4 linked regions of the Canis lupus familiaris genome follow. The protein of the gene in region 4 interacts with the protein of the main gene of each other region in a biochemical or structural test. Links are inferred from orthologs where the notes say so. Each region holds a gene or a part of one and is shown on either strand. Other genes may lie near its edges.

Region 1 (3,500 bases), on a different chromosome or scaffold from region 4:
AACAGAACATGGTATTATCTACACTAAGGAAACTTTTTCTACCATAAAAAAAGAATGAAGTAATCATGTATAAGTACCACAACATGGATGAACTTCAAAGCCACATATTATGATTCCATTCATATGAAATGTCTAGAATAGGTACATCCAGAGAGATAGAAGTAGATGAGTAGTTGTCTGGAGGCTGAGGGGGAAGGGGCAGCAATGGGGAGTGGCTGCTAATGGATACAGGGTTTCTTTTTTGGGATTATAATAATGTTCTGGAATTAAATGGCAGTGATGGTTTGTTCCACAACCTTGTGAATTTACTAAAAACCACTAAAATGTACAGTTTATAAGGGTGAAATTTTTGCTACATGAATTACACATCTCAATTTTATTTTATTATTGTTTCTTTTCATATCTCAATTTTTTTAAAGACTTATTTATTTATTCATGAGAGAACGGGGTGGGGGTGGGGGGGAGACACAGGCAGAGGGAGAAGCAGGTTTCCTGCAGGGAGCCCAATGTGGACTCAATCCCGGAACCCAGGATCATGCCCTGAGCTGAAGGCAAATGCTCAACCACTGAGTAACCCAGGCATCCCAATAAATGATTTCTTAAACTTTATTATTTATGCCCATTTCAAAATCTGTATCAAATATTATCAAAGTGGCTCTCCTTCTTAAGTATATTTATGAATACTTATAGTTTTCTCTTGTCTTGTAACCCTTAAGATACCAAAAAGATGATGGTATAAGGAATGGGGAATCAGCAGACATATTCTAAATTACACTTTCTACTATTTTTGAAACATGATGCCTAAGCTGGAAATGAGATCCACAGTGTGATGCAGATTTCAGAAGACCCCGTTAATAGTCCCAGTTCCACTAATGATTTGTAAATGTAACTGTGGGCGGGTCACTTAACCTCCTGGTCTCTGTTTCAGCATCTGAAAAGTGGAGATAACAATATCATCTTTGCTTAACATAGTATCTTTCTGGATTTTTAAAAAAAAGATTTTATTTACTTATTCATGAGAGACACAGAGAGAAGGCAGAGACATAGGCAGAGGGAGAAGCAGGCTCCATGCAAAGAGCCCGATGTGGGACTCCATCCCGGAACTCCGGGATCACACCCTGAGCTGAAGGCAGATGCTCAACCGCTGAGCCACCCAGGCATCCTGGTATCTTTCTGGCTTTTAAAGATGTTTATGATGAGTAAATAATCTTTGGGATAAAAATCTCTACCTTTCTATAAGGTAAGAGAAGATAAACTGAACCATGCCCCTCTGTGAAGAAACTGGGGGAGGCTCAAGAATGGCATGGGATAAGGAAGCAGGTAGGGCCGACCATGGTGATGGCACATTAGTACAGCACTGGATTCATGGTCCTGGCTAACTCAAGAAGTACCTGGGACAAAAATACACTTATCTCTCTTCCTTTGGGGATTTTAACAGAAATGGCAATGGACAGCCTATAGCTGCTCCTCCTAAGCTTGGAAAAGCTAACTGCACAACCGCCATAGGAATGTCCTTTCTTAAAATTTTATTTTTACTTTACTATAATTAGTATCATTTTATGTAATGTATATAATTATATAACTTATAATATAATTTAGTATAATTTAAATTTTTCCAGTACAATTAATGTACAGTGTTACATGAGTCACATGAATGTTCTTACTATATAAATATCTGACTTAAAAATTTTTTTAAAGATTTTATTTATTTATTCATGAGAGACACAGAGAGAGAGAAGAGAGACAGAGGCAGAGACACAGGCAGAGGGAGAAGCAGGCTCCATGCAGGGAGCCTGAAATGGGACTCGATCCTGGGTCTCCAGGATCACGCCCTGGGCTGAAGGCCGTGCTAAACCACTGAGCCACCTGGGCTGCCCTGACTTAAAATTTTTAAAAAGATTTTATTTATTTATTCATGAGAGACAGAGAAAGGGGCAGAGACATAGGCAGAGGGAGAAGCAGGTTCCCTGTAGGGAGCCTAATGTGGGACTCGATCCCAGGACCCTGGGATCATTACCTGAGCCAAAGGCAGATGGCTCAACCACTGAGCCACCCAGCTACCTATAACTGACTTAAATTTATAGGCACTTCCTAATCCTTAAATTTATAGCAATCTCATCTCAAATAAATCTACTTTGATTATCTTGAAAAAATAAGCTTATGTCTCTACCCTATAAAAAAACAACTGTAATAAACTGCTAATGAAATTAAAAGTATATTTATTTTAATGTACATACTTACCAATTCTTTCAGTTAATGACCGTGTTCTTTCAGCAGTTCTTAGCTGAAATAGAAATATGGACTATAAGTTAGAATTCTTTTTGGTAGAAGATGATTACCTCAATTTGAAAAGTTACACTAATCATGAATTTATAAATTGGCTTTATTCCAATTCAACATATGAATGTTTGCAAGAGGCATAACCTGATGAAGCTAGAAGGAAGGTTTTTTTTTTTTAAGATTTTTAAAATTTATACATGAGACACACAGAAAGAGAGAGAGGCAGAGACACAGGCACAGGGAGAGAAGCAGGCTCCATGCAGGGAGCCTGATGTGGGACTCGATCCCAGGACTCCAGGATCACGCCCTGGGCTGAAGGCAGGTGCTAAACCACCGAGCCACTCAGGGATCCCCACTAGAAGGAAGTTAAAAGATCATCTAACACAATCCACTCACTCTATAGACAGGGCACTGAGTCTCAGGGAGTTTAAACAACTCGATTGAGGCAAGGGAGCTCATGGTAGAGCCATAAATGACAACTCTGGCTTCCCATTCTAGTCCATGGCTCTTCCCACATGGTACCAATACCTTAGCCATCCCAGGCTGCCATCAATTTAGACACGCTTCTGAGATTTAAAATATTGCCTTTGGAAAGTTCACAATTATTTATGAGTATAAAACACATTATACAAAAGTCTAATTTCAGAAAGTTGAGGGATTAAGTATTTTAGTTCTTCAAACCCATTTTTATTTACAGTGAGTTAAATCAATCAGCTTATGGGGATTCCTCTTTCACAAAGCTACTTCAGGTTAAGAAATAACAAGCATTCGGGATCCCTGGGTGGCGCAGCGGTTTGGCGCCTGCCTTTGGCCCAGGGCACGATCCTGGAGACTCAGGATCGAATCCCACGTCGGGCTCCCTGCGTGGAGCCTGCTTCTCCCTCTGCCTGTGTCTCTGCCTCTCTCTCCCTCTCTCTGTGTGACTATCATAAATAAATAAAAAAATTAAAAAAAAAAGAAATAACAAGCATTCTTCAAGATCTCCCCTTTAAAGCCCACCATACATTATTAATTTAAGATACTATACTGTGAATTTTACACCAAGAAATCATTGCAAAACAAATTAAATAATATTTTATATTCTACAATATGTGACTTACCACTGAATGGGTTAAATGAATATTGTTTATATATTCTTGTCCCTTCTCTTCTAACAGATATTTACACCTAAACAATTAAAAGAAGGTTAAACTTTGGTAGCTGATAAATCAGTAAAGTAT
Region 2 (3,500 bases), on a different chromosome or scaffold from region 4:
AACAATATATCATAGCAAAAAAAAAAAATAAACAATATATCATAGCATTTATGATGCTAGTGAGATGTGAGGTTATAAATAGGATAATGAAATGTTTACTTATGATACATAATTAAATACAAAGGAAAAATAAAATAACCTTATACATACCATAAACTTTGCTTAAACTACTAGAATAATTTAGGTATGATTTTAAGAAAAACATTTACCTCAATCCTTAATATGATATCTAAAAGTATTCTAGTTATTAAATATTTTAACCACTAAAGTTTGTGAATAATTATAAATACAAATCTACAAATTGCTGTTTTTTTAATGTGACATAAGATTTCCATTTTTCTTTTTTTTTTCTTTTTTTTTTTTTTTTTTTAGATTTCCATTTTTCTAACCAGTTTATTCACAAACCTGTTAATGTGAAATGTCTTAGAATAATTGGCAAATGTATTGAAAGAGAAAGGATTGTCTGAAGGTTTAAATATGTACATAATGATTCAGAGTGAGCTTTCAATCAAAGGCTACCCTGATGAACTGGGAGTGAGAAGGGTAACTGGAAAGTTGGTCTAAGTTTCAAGTCTGAGAAATACCTTAAAAAAACAGAAAGTTTTCCAAAAGAAGGAAAGACTAGTTTATTTACAAGTGCACCAGGAAAATAATTTAAAGGTAATTAACCTAAAGAGTAAATATACTTCTTGTGGCCATTTTTATAATTTCATAATGAATTGCAAAAATGGATCAAGATGATGTATTTAAAAACCCCTATCTAATTAGTTATCTTTCAAGTATGCAAAATGTTTTTACAAAGGAAGTGGAATTTTTTTTTTTACTATATTTCTACATATTCACCAACACAACTATAAGGAGTGCTTGAAATGACTAGTTTAAAGTACAGAGCTCAATTTTTCAACTATAAAGATGAAAACAAAATTATTTTTCCCATACCCTCATCTATTTAAAATAATCATCTAGAAGCCCTATACTATTTTGTATGAGTGAGTTACTAATTTCTTTGGTGAACATACAAAAGATCTTACTTACGTTTTCTGTTTTTGTAATTGAGTTCTTTCCTCCTTGGTACTGTCCCAAGGAAAATAACCCAAAAGAAATTTCCATGCTTGCTTTCTCAATGCATGACTAAGTCCCTAAAGAAAACATGCATATTAAACACAGTTGTAAAAAAGAATGGAATACTTTAAGTTCACAAAACTTGCATATAAATATACAGGAAGATTAATATTTAAGAGACAGTTTTTATACATATTCACTCAATTCAGTGAATACTAACTTGTTTTTGACCTCTAGTTCTGAAGATGTAAACTTTCAGAAAGCTTAAACAATGCAGAGTATTGTTCTATAGAAGACAGTGGGACTGATTAGTCTTTCTAAGTCCAATCCTTATTAAATAAGGCGACTACCAGTGGGGTACATACACGCCTCCTTCATATAATCCACAGAACTTTAAGTAAGGAAAACTCTTCTTCCCTAGGCTTAATGGTCTCCCGCCCTCCCCACCGCGCAATCCTAAGGGACATCACAAAGATTGTGATGTCTCTGTCCTACAGGGATTTTAAGGCATCATTATTCAAAAAGGAATTCATTCCCTGACTCCCTCTACACTCTACACATCCCTCCAAAAAAGAAAATTTAAATATCAGCAGTTTCAAATATCATCCATATTAAGGTATTTACCCCTCTAAATATCATCTGCTTCATATTATCTACATTTAAAATTCTTCCTTCAGAATCAATGTTCTTAGTCCATTCTTCCAGTGATACTGGCTCTCTCCTTTGAACAACAGGTCGTTCTCCCAAATCAATCTAAAATAAGATAAGCAATATGGAATACACTTTTAACCGGTGATATTAAATCAAGGTACACGGAAACGATAACTAAAACACTATCACTCAGGCACAAATGTTAATTTCTAACATTTCTAGTATCTTCCCTTATTTTTCAATGTTTTGTTTATGAACTTTAATAGCATTCCATACACTTTCCTTCCTACTAACCATACAAATAACAGAGTAATAAATTCAGAGACAGGAATATATTTGCTATTTTGAGTTTCAATTACATAAGTACAAAACATTCGACATGTAAATTCCATAAGGGACTCTTCAAATTAAATGGTGTGCTGTTATTATTTGAAAAGACAGTATTATTCCACTAAACATATTCTAAAATTAGCTTTCCTTCCAAACTAAAATTTGTAGCTCTCAGAATTGATTCGTGATCCATTAGTTCCACTTGGTATTTTCTACAGTTTTTTATTCAATTAACAGATGTTGGTAATTTAAAAATGCCATTTGCAAGATAAGCCCTTCAAGTATTACAATTTTTGTATTTATAATGTTCCAACTATGTACAGCCTAGAATTGTAGCAAATTCAAAAGTCTTGTTGGGCATATATAAAGATTGGCCACAATTCAGGGCCAAGATCCATCTTCCTTAAAAAAGAAAAGATTCACATAAGCATAAAAGCCCTAGAGTAGTGTCCTGACTAGCTGCCCCTGGTGCCTACTGAGAAAACATATAAATTAGGAAGAGAACTTGGAACAATATGCAAGGCTCATATTCACTGCTATGCACTCAATGAAACAAACAACCTGTTCATTATCATCAAAAAGTAATCAAGGAAAAGAGATCCAACTAATAAAAAGTATAAGCAGTAAATGAAGCAGCACAATCCAACAATGTGGAGGCAGAACAAGTATTAGTTGTTAGATATATTAGCAAAAAAGTTTTAAGAAAGGATTATGAGAAAGAGGCAGATATAACCAAAACTGAGTTTCTATTTCTATCATATTCAGTACATGTTTAAAAAGCATTTCTCCTGTTAAAATGTGAGAGCTATGTTAATATAAATGTCCACTCACTCTTGTGATGACTTCGAATCCTGGTTCTTCTTGTTGATTTATCTTTAAACCTGGAATAGCATCACTAAGAAAATCTGCCATTTCTGAAGGTGGTCGTTGATGTGTAGAGGGATCACTGCCTCTCAGACTATCAAAAATGTAGTTTGTGACTTTGGAAAATCCTACCATAGTTGCTGTATAAGGATCCTTTTTAATTTTCTATGTAGTAAGAAGAGAAATATTATCATTATTAATTCAAATAAATAATAAAAATACCACTATCATGAGCAAAAGGGCAAAGGTTTTTAAAGGGAAATCAGAACTAAAACAGAGTGTTCTAAGATTTTTTTTTTTTTCTGGGAAGAAAAATTTTTATTTTCTAAGCCAATCTTTTCATTTGGTTAAAAGAGAATATTACACAGCAAGTTAATGCTACTGATTAAATTGCAGATAAACAAATGATTTGCAGGCTTTATTCAATCTGCATACATCACAAATATATGCAGTGCTTACTTTCCATTGATGAATGGCCCACAACAGCATTCTTCTGTCTAGCAGTCCTGCCTTCACAAAAAAAATATTTCTTGAAGTGTGCACTAGTCTAACGGAAAATATTCAATAGCTAAGTTTTAAAAGCTCACAATATT
Region 3 (3,500 bases), on a different chromosome or scaffold from region 4:
ACGGCCTGCAGGTGACACAGCTGAACGTGGACCACACCACGGAGAATGAGGACGAGCTCTTCCGCCTCTCTCAGCTGGGTACGTCTGAGTGGGGCCGACCCCCACAGCTCACTCTGTTCTCTTCTGGTAGCCGTGAAGGGAGAGGCATGAAGTGCTCGGGCTGTGACCTTGGGCTTGGGACCAGCCTTCCTGGGGTTGGATCCCAGCTCTGCCCCTTACTAGCAGGTGATGTTCAGAATTTCAGAAGGTTTTTGTGCCTCAGTTTCCCCATCTGTGTAACAAGGATTGTAGCAGCGCTTACCTTGTGAGGATTAAGAGTCCATGTGTCTAAAGTGTTTCCAAGAGTACCGAGTATGCACTAGGTCCCGTGATTGGTGGAGACTAGGAGGCCAGCAAGATCCCGGTTGCAGCCACCACGGCCTAGCCTCCCTGCCCAGGGCCTCTGGGTGTGGTGGGCGTTCTGATGGGCCTGGCCACAGGGCACCGGGGAGCTTTGGGTGAGCCACTCCAGAGGGCACCCTGCTGTGACTTCATCCTCTGTTCCCTGGGTCCTCATTGCCTTACTTTGGGGACTGTGTCTGTATGCCCTTCCTTTTGTTCTTCATGATGAAAAGGACCTGGGATTGTCCTGTTGTTCTCCCTCTGGCAGGTTTGGATGCAGGAAAGATCAAGCAGGTGGGAATCATCTGTGGGCAGGAGAGCACCAGGCGCATAGGGGATTACAAGGTCAAGTATGGCTACACAGACATCGACCTACTGAGGTAGGTGGCCAGCCCAGCTGCCGCGTGCGTAAGGCCAGAGGGCCTGGACAGAAGCAGATTTGGGGCTCTCGGGACAAAAGGTGCAATTGAGGTAGTTGAGAGCCCAAGAAGACTTTTCTTCCTCCTAGAGAGGTTGGTGTGTGGTCCTAGATCCAACAGGCCAGGAAGTGGGGTTCCATAGAGCTGGGCTGGCAAGGGGTCAGGTTGGGGATCTGAGTCAGAGCCAGGGACAGCAACCAGTGCCTGGGGCCCAATGGGAGTGTCCAGGGTTGGCATGAGCCACCTGGTATGAATGGGGACGGACGACAGGCCTCCTGGTCAGTGCTGTGCATGCCCGGCTCAGGGCAGAGGTCCAAGATGAAGTAGATGCCGCCCTCCGTGGACCCTTCCCTTTTGGCTGCCACCCAGCGCTGGCAGCAGCAGATGGGCAGTGGTGGTGATCGTGGGCCGTCATTGTAACGAGCCAGTGCCCAGCTCTTTACACACCATCTTACTCAACCCTCACTCAGACCCCGTGAGGGAGGTCCTGTTGTTGCCCGGAAGGTATGTTCACATGAAGAAACAGATGTGGCGACATCAGGGAGCCTGCCTGGTCACAGGGCTAGCGGGGGCTGAGGCAGGACTTGAACCTGGATGCAGGTTCATCCTGAATCCAGAGCAACATCCCAACATTGACTGGGAAGATAGACATGTGTCTGTGGTGTGTGTATGTATGTGTGTGGGTTGGTGTGTGTTTGTGTGTGGTATGCAGGGGTGTGGTTTGGGGGTGTATGCAGTATGTAGATGTGTGTCGGGGGGTATGTGTGTAGGAGTGTGGTATGTGTGGGAGTGTGGTGTGTTTGTGTGTGGTATGTGTGTGGTATGCAGGGGTGTGGTTTGGGGGTATAGGTGGTGTGTATATGTGTGTGTGTGGTATGTGTGTGGGAGTATGGTATGTGTGGGGTTGTGTGTGGGGGGTGTAGTTGGGGGTTGTGGTTTGGTTTCTGGGGTGTGGGGGGGGAGGGTATGGTGTCAGGGTGTGTGGTTGAGGGGCTGTGGCGTGGGAAGGAAGGGAGGGTGTGTGGGGTTGTGGTTTGGGTCTCTGGGGTGTGTGTGTGTTGGGGGAGGTGTGTGTGGCCTGTCACAGCATTTAATGTCACAACCAGAGCCGTGAGGGACTCATACCAAAGACGCCAGCGTCAGAGCCAGACTCGTCATAGCCTAGAAAGCATGAGTTACAACTTGTTCTCCCGAGATTTAAACAATTGAGTTTGGAAATTTTCGTCTCTAATTTGTGAGGTTCTGTTTGCTTAATTGGAAAGTACGTTTGTGGCTTAAAACAATTCAAGTAGCACCAAGGATGTACGGTGAAAAGTAAGTTTCCCTCCCACCTGAGCCCGGACTCCCTCCCAGACGCTGCTGGTCCTGCTCGCTTGTGTCCTGCCCCAGAGCCCCTGTGCACGTGGATGTGGGGGTGTGTTTCTAAGACACCCGCAGGCGCTGGCGTACTGTCTCCCAGCACCTCCCTTGTTTCCTGATGGGTGCTGCCCTCCCCTGCTGTGCAACACTGGGTGGGTTGGCAGCGGCACTCTCCATAACAGCTGCCCAGGTCCCAGAGCTGGGCTGTGGCCACGCTCCCCAGCCCCCTACTCATGGGCTGCCCGGATGTTCCAAGCTTTGCTCTGCCATGTGCCATTGCCAGGAACATCTTAGACTCGCCTCCGTGTGTGTGCACACGTACTGGAGCTCTGTGACATCTTCTCGCTCTGCTGGCGCCTCAGTAAAGGGTCCCTGTGCACCCGGGGTGCGCGTGGAGTCTGAGTTGGCGTGGATACTTGTTTTGGAGGAGCGCGGGAGAAGTGGGCTTTTAAAAGTGATCCCTACTCACCCTCTTGCTGTCCCGACTGTCACCGCATAGGCTCTGTGGACAGGAGCTGAGGACTGGGGCCAGGATGGGGCACCCGATGTCCACTGCCCTGACCCCAGCTGCCCCCTGGCTCTCCTGGGCCTCAGCTTTACGTTAGGCCCACCCTCAGAAGACAGTTCTGTTTTTCTTGTTTTCTCTTTCCTCTATTTCTTTTCCTCTTATTAGATGTGCATTTAACTTTACATCCTGGGCAGATTCTTGCCCTTAGCAGAAGAAATGTCCCCTGGCGCCCTCCCAACCATGGCTCTCCCTCACTTTCTGCCTATAGCGCCGCCAAGTCGAAGCCGATTATCGCAGAGCCCGAAATCCATGGTGCACAGCCCCTGGACGGGGTGACTGGCTTCCTGGTGCTGATGTCGGAGGGGCTCTACAAGGCTCTGGAGGCAGCCCACGGGCCTGGCCAGGCCAACCAGGTGAGCTGGGCCCTGGCACAGCACAGCCAGCCAGCCCTCCTCGGCTCCACGGTCCTCAGGGACCCAGAGCCCTGGTTCTCAAAGGCCATCTCCAGACAACTTCTCAGTCTTCAAAGCTGGGAGAAGAAAAAACCCAGTGCTCTAAGAACACCCATCCCCCCCCAAAGCTGTGCTTGTTCGGGGCTTGAAGCAGGGTCAGTCTTGGGGGCCTGAGCAAAGCCTGAGGGGAAGAGGGGGAGAAGGAAGTGAATTTGCATGGGCACATGGTTCTGGAATATCCGAGAAGGGCCCTGGGCTGAGAAAGAACACCCAGAGCCTATAGCCTGAGCCTCAGGCTCCCTCCGCCACCTTCCCCTCCCTCCCCTTCCCTCCTAGCTGCCCTCACTTAAACAGCTTGCTCCTTGTCTCTGATGCCAGGTG
Region 4 (4,060 bases):
TGAGGCGAAGGACCAGGTGCAGAGTGGACTCCTTCTGGATGTTGTAGTCGGACAGGGTGCGCCCATCTTCCAGCTGTTTGCCAGCAAAGATCAACCTCTGCTGGTCAGGGGGGATGCCCTCCTTGTCCTGGATCTTCGCCTTGACGTTCTCGATGGTGTCACTGGGCTCCACCTCCAGGGTGATGGTCTTACCCGTCAAGGTCTTCACGAAGATCTGCATGCCCCCCCTGAGGCGAAGGACCAGGTGCAGAGTGGACTCCTTCTGGATGTTGTAGTCGGACAGGGTGCGCCCATCTTCCAGCTGTTTGCCGGCAAAGATCAACCTCTGCTGGTCAGGGGGGATGCCCTCCTTGTCCTGGATCTTCGCCTTGACGTTCTCGATGGTGTCACTGGGCTCCACCTCCAGGGTGATGGTCTTACCCGTCAAAGTCTTCACGAAGATCTGCATGCCCCCCCTGAGGCGAAGGACCAGGTGCAGAGTGGACTCCTTCTGGATGTTGTAGTCGGACAGGGTGCGCCCATCTTCCAGCTGTTTGCCGGCAAAGATCAACCTCTGCTGGTCAGGGGGGATGCCCTCCTTGTCCTGGATCTTCGCCTTGACGTTCTCGATGGTGTCACTGGGCTCCACCTCCAGGGTGATGGTCTTACCCGTCAAGGTCTTCACGAAGATCTGCATGCCCCCCCTGAGGCGAAGGACCAGGTGCAGAGTGGACTCCTTCTGGATGTTGTAGTCGGACAGGGTGCGCCCATCTTCCAGCTGTTTGCCAGCAAAGATCAACCTCTGCTGGTCAGGGGGGATGCCCTCCTTGTCCTGGATCTTCGCCTTGACGTTCTCGATGGTGTCACTGGGCTCCACCTCCAGGGTGATGGTCTTACCCGTCAAGGTCTTCACGAAGATCTGCATGCCCCCCCTGAGGCGAAGGACCAGGTGCAGAGTGGACTCCTTCTGGATGTTGTAGTCGGACAGGGTGCGCCCATCTTCCAGCTGTTTGCCGGCAAAGATCAACCTCTGCTGGTCAGGGGGGATGCCCTCCTTGTCCTGGATCTTCGCCTTGACGTTCTCGATGGTGTCACTGGGCTCCACCTCCAGGGTGATGGTCTTACCCGTCAAAGTCTTCACGAAGATCTGCATGCCCCCCCTGAGGCGAAGGACCAGGTGCAGAGTGGACTCCTTCTGGATGTTGTAGTCGGACAGGGTGCGCCCATCTTCCAGCTGTTTGCCGGCAAAGATCAACCTCTGCTGGTCAGGGGGGATGCCCTCCTTGTCCTGGATCTTCGCCTTGACGTTCTCGATGGTGTCACTGGGCTCCACCTCCAGGGTGATGGTCTTACCCGTCAAGGTCTTCACGAAGATCTGCATGCCCCCCCTGAGGCGAAGGACCAGGTGCAGAGTGGACTCCTTCTGGATGTTGTAGTCGGACAGGGTGCGCCCATCTTCCAGCTGTTTGCCGGCAAAGATCAACCTCTGCTGGTCAGGGGGGATGCCCTCCTTGTCCTGGATCTTCGCCTTGACGTTCTCGATGGTGTCACTGGGCTCCACCTCCAGGGTGATGGTCTTACCCGTCAAGGTCTTCACGAAGATCTGCATGCCCCCCCTGAGGCGAAGGACCAGGTGCAGAGTGGACTCCTTCTGGATGTTGTAGTCGGACAGGGTGCGCCCATCTTCCAGCTGTTTGCCAGCAAAGATCAACCTCTGCTGGTCAGGGGGGATGCCCTCCTTGTCCTGGATCTTCGCCTTGACGTTCTCGATGGTGTCACTGGGCTCCACCTCCAGGGTGATGGTCTTACCCGTCAAAGTCTTCACGAAGATCTGCATTGTCTGTCACAAAAAAACCCAAAAAAACAAAAAAAACAATCCGGAGTGTAACAGACCACTCACATGTGAATAGAACGCTAACAGTTACTGGTCATTTTACACTAACCCAAGAACTAAAATAAACCTCGCCAAAAAACCTAAGGCGAAGAAACAGGACAGGTTTTGGAAACTCAAATAAGCTCCAAAACCAAGTTCCAGGCCCCAGGAGGAGAGAAAGCATGGATACCGGTCAAGTGAAGGCGCCGGCTTCCGTATCTTCCCCTCCCCCCTCAGTGATGTCTGGACCGGACAATCCGCAGGATCTCCCCTCCCCCGCCCCGCCTAACCCTTGTGCCCCGCGACTGACCCAAGCCGGCTCCACACACAGGAACACGCGGCCCCACCCCGGATTGTTAGCTGACAAAGCGATGACATCACATGACCGACGCGACGAGCGGGCCCCCTCCCCCCAAACGGGCGCAGGACTGCTCCGGCACTTCGGGCCCACTCGCCGCGACCGGACACGGAGCGTGGCGCCAGCGGGGCCGCGGAGCACACAGGGGCTTCCCGCCCCCACTCACTGCGCAGAGGGCCCCGTCAGGGCCCCACTGGCTCGGCGCGTCTCGCCCGCTCACAGCCATCCCGTCTCCCGGGCTCCTCACGGCCCCTCGCACCTCGGCTTCTCCCCGCACAGGAGCCGTAGCGGACGCCATTTTGCTGCGCCCCCCCCCCCAAGAGTAACCGCGCTCCGGCGCCGCGGGCAACTCCCCGGGCAGCCGGCTGCCCGGCCCCCCGCCCCTGCAGGGCCCCAAGACCCCCAGGCCCGCGCAGCGGCCCGCTCCTCACCAAGCGGCTGTGACAGAAGCGCACGGAGACGAACAACCGACCTCCCGGCCTCCACGGAACTGCCTGCGCCACGCCCGGCGCCTCCTTATATAACAATCGGCCGCGCCGCTCCGGCGGATCCCTGCGCAGAAACGCCGAGAAGGGACTACTTTTCACCGTCTTCCTGGCCTCCAGGGAGAAAACCACTGCCCCAGAATCTTCTAGGAGCCCCCGGAAACGTCGACCTGTCAAGGCTGGGCTGTAGGGCTGAATCTGGCGAGGAGAGGGCCGCGGTCCCGAGCGCCCGCGCGGAGGGATCAGCGCGCCCGTTGAGTGCTGCGTCCGCGGACGTGGCCGGCGCCGGATGCGAGGGGGGAGGGGGGAGGGGGCGAGCGCGGAGAACAGGGCCCGCGGGAGACGGGAAAACCCGGCGCGGAATCGCCGGGCGTCCGGGGCGAGCTGCCCCTGCCGCGGGACCCAGACACCCCTTCCCCTCGGCCGCAGCGGTCCCCGCGGCTCTCGAGACCCGCCCTGGGCGGAGAGGGGTTGGGCGTCGTGGTCCCTCGCCCCTCCGCGACCGCAGGGGTCCTCGCGCCGGGGCCTGCGGCCCGCCCATCCCCCCGCGCGGGCGCGGACAGGACGGATGACTCGACAGATCGCGGCGCGGGGCGGGAGGTGGGCCCGGGCTGGGCTGGGGCAGCGGGGGAGCAGGGGGTGCGGGACGGCCGAAGGCTAGAAGGGGGCGCAGAAACCCCGCACGCTTTGCCCGCACCTATTCGAGAGGCGTCTGGAAGTCCACCGAACTTTCTAGAATGTCCTTTGGCCTTCCTGTACCACCTACGCCGCCTTGTACTAGATACACACACGGAGGCATCTGGTGGACACTCAGTGGAGCTCAGACGTACAACTTCCTTAGGCCTGGGGTCTCAGAAACACAAGTCCAATCCCAGGCCTGTACATTCGTGGGCGGGGGGGGGGGGGACACAATTTAATATCCCAAATACAAAATTTGGGGCACCTGGGTGACTCAGTGGTTGAGTGCCTTTGGCTCGGGGCGTGACCCCGGGGTCCTGGGATCCAGTCCTGTGTTGAGGTCCCCGCAGGGAGCCTGCTTCTCCCTCTGCCTGTGTCTCTGTTTCTGATGTCTCATGAATAAAGATCTTTTTTTTTTTTTAATAAAGATCTTTAATAAATAATTTAATTACATTGAATTCTATGGCAAAATTCCATTTGAATAAAAGGAGAAAGACTGAAAAATAAAATACCTGAATATGGTGAAAACTTAAAAAGTTTCTGGAAGTTTACAGAGAAAAGTCCTTCACATGCTCAATCCCCCAGCCACTGTCTCTTCTGGAGCTATTCTCTGTTTCAGTGTGGAGGGGGGAAAGATCTTTTCATTTCACCCTCAAAGCTTTCAAGAAAAAAACAAATAGGAAAAGT

Evidence for each region. The genes of interacting proteins can lie anywhere in the genome.
Region 1: the proteins of UBC (region 4) and XIAP form a complex in vitro, tested with the Homo sapiens proteins (5 studies listed by BioGRID and IntAct, with this or other methods). The link is inferred for Canis lupus familiaris from reciprocal best matches to the Homo sapiens genes UBC and XIAP.
Region 2: the proteins of UBC (region 4) and TBC1D15 form a complex in vitro, tested with the Homo sapiens proteins (2 studies listed by BioGRID). The link is inferred for Canis lupus familiaris from reciprocal best matches to the Homo sapiens genes UBC and TBC1D15.
Region 3: the proteins of UBC (region 4) and TAB1 form a complex in vitro, tested with the Homo sapiens proteins (2 studies listed by BioGRID). The link is inferred for Canis lupus familiaris from reciprocal best matches to the Homo sapiens genes UBC and TAB1.

What each region holds. Positions count from the first base shown.
Region 1 is NC_049260.1:96,096,813-96,100,312, reverse strand, and holds part of XIAP (E3 ubiquitin-protein ligase XIAP), read right to left. Parts: intron 3,448-3,500; coding exon 3,381-3,447; intron 2,285-3,380; coding exon 2,242-2,284; intron 1-2,241.
Region 2 is NC_049231.1:13,772,852-13,776,351, reverse strand, and holds part of TBC1D15 (TBC1 domain family member 15), read right to left. Parts: intron 3,418-3,500; coding exon 3,367-3,417; intron 3,073-3,366; coding exon 2,875-3,072; intron 1,816-2,874; coding exon 1,687-1,815; intron 1,140-1,686; coding exon 1,036-1,139; intron 1-1,035. UniProt on the Homo sapiens protein: Acts as a GTPase activating protein for RAB7A. Does not act on RAB4, RAB5 or RAB6.
Region 3 is NC_049231.1:26,591,231-26,594,730, reverse strand, and holds part of TAB1 (TGF-beta-activated kinase 1 and MAP3K7-binding protein 1), read left to right. Parts: coding exon 1-78; intron 79-649; coding exon 650-761; intron 762-2,935; coding exon 2,936-3,080; intron 3,081-3,500. UniProt on the Homo sapiens protein: Key adapter protein that plays an essential role in JNK and NF-kappa-B activation and proinflammatory cytokines production in response to stimulation with TLRs and cytokines.
Region 4 is NC_049247.1:5,228,786-5,232,845, reverse strand, and holds the start of UBC (polyubiquitin-C), read right to left. Parts: upstream 2,801-4,060; 5' UTR 2,642-2,800; intron 1,820-2,641; 5' UTR 1,817-1,819; coding exon 1-1,816.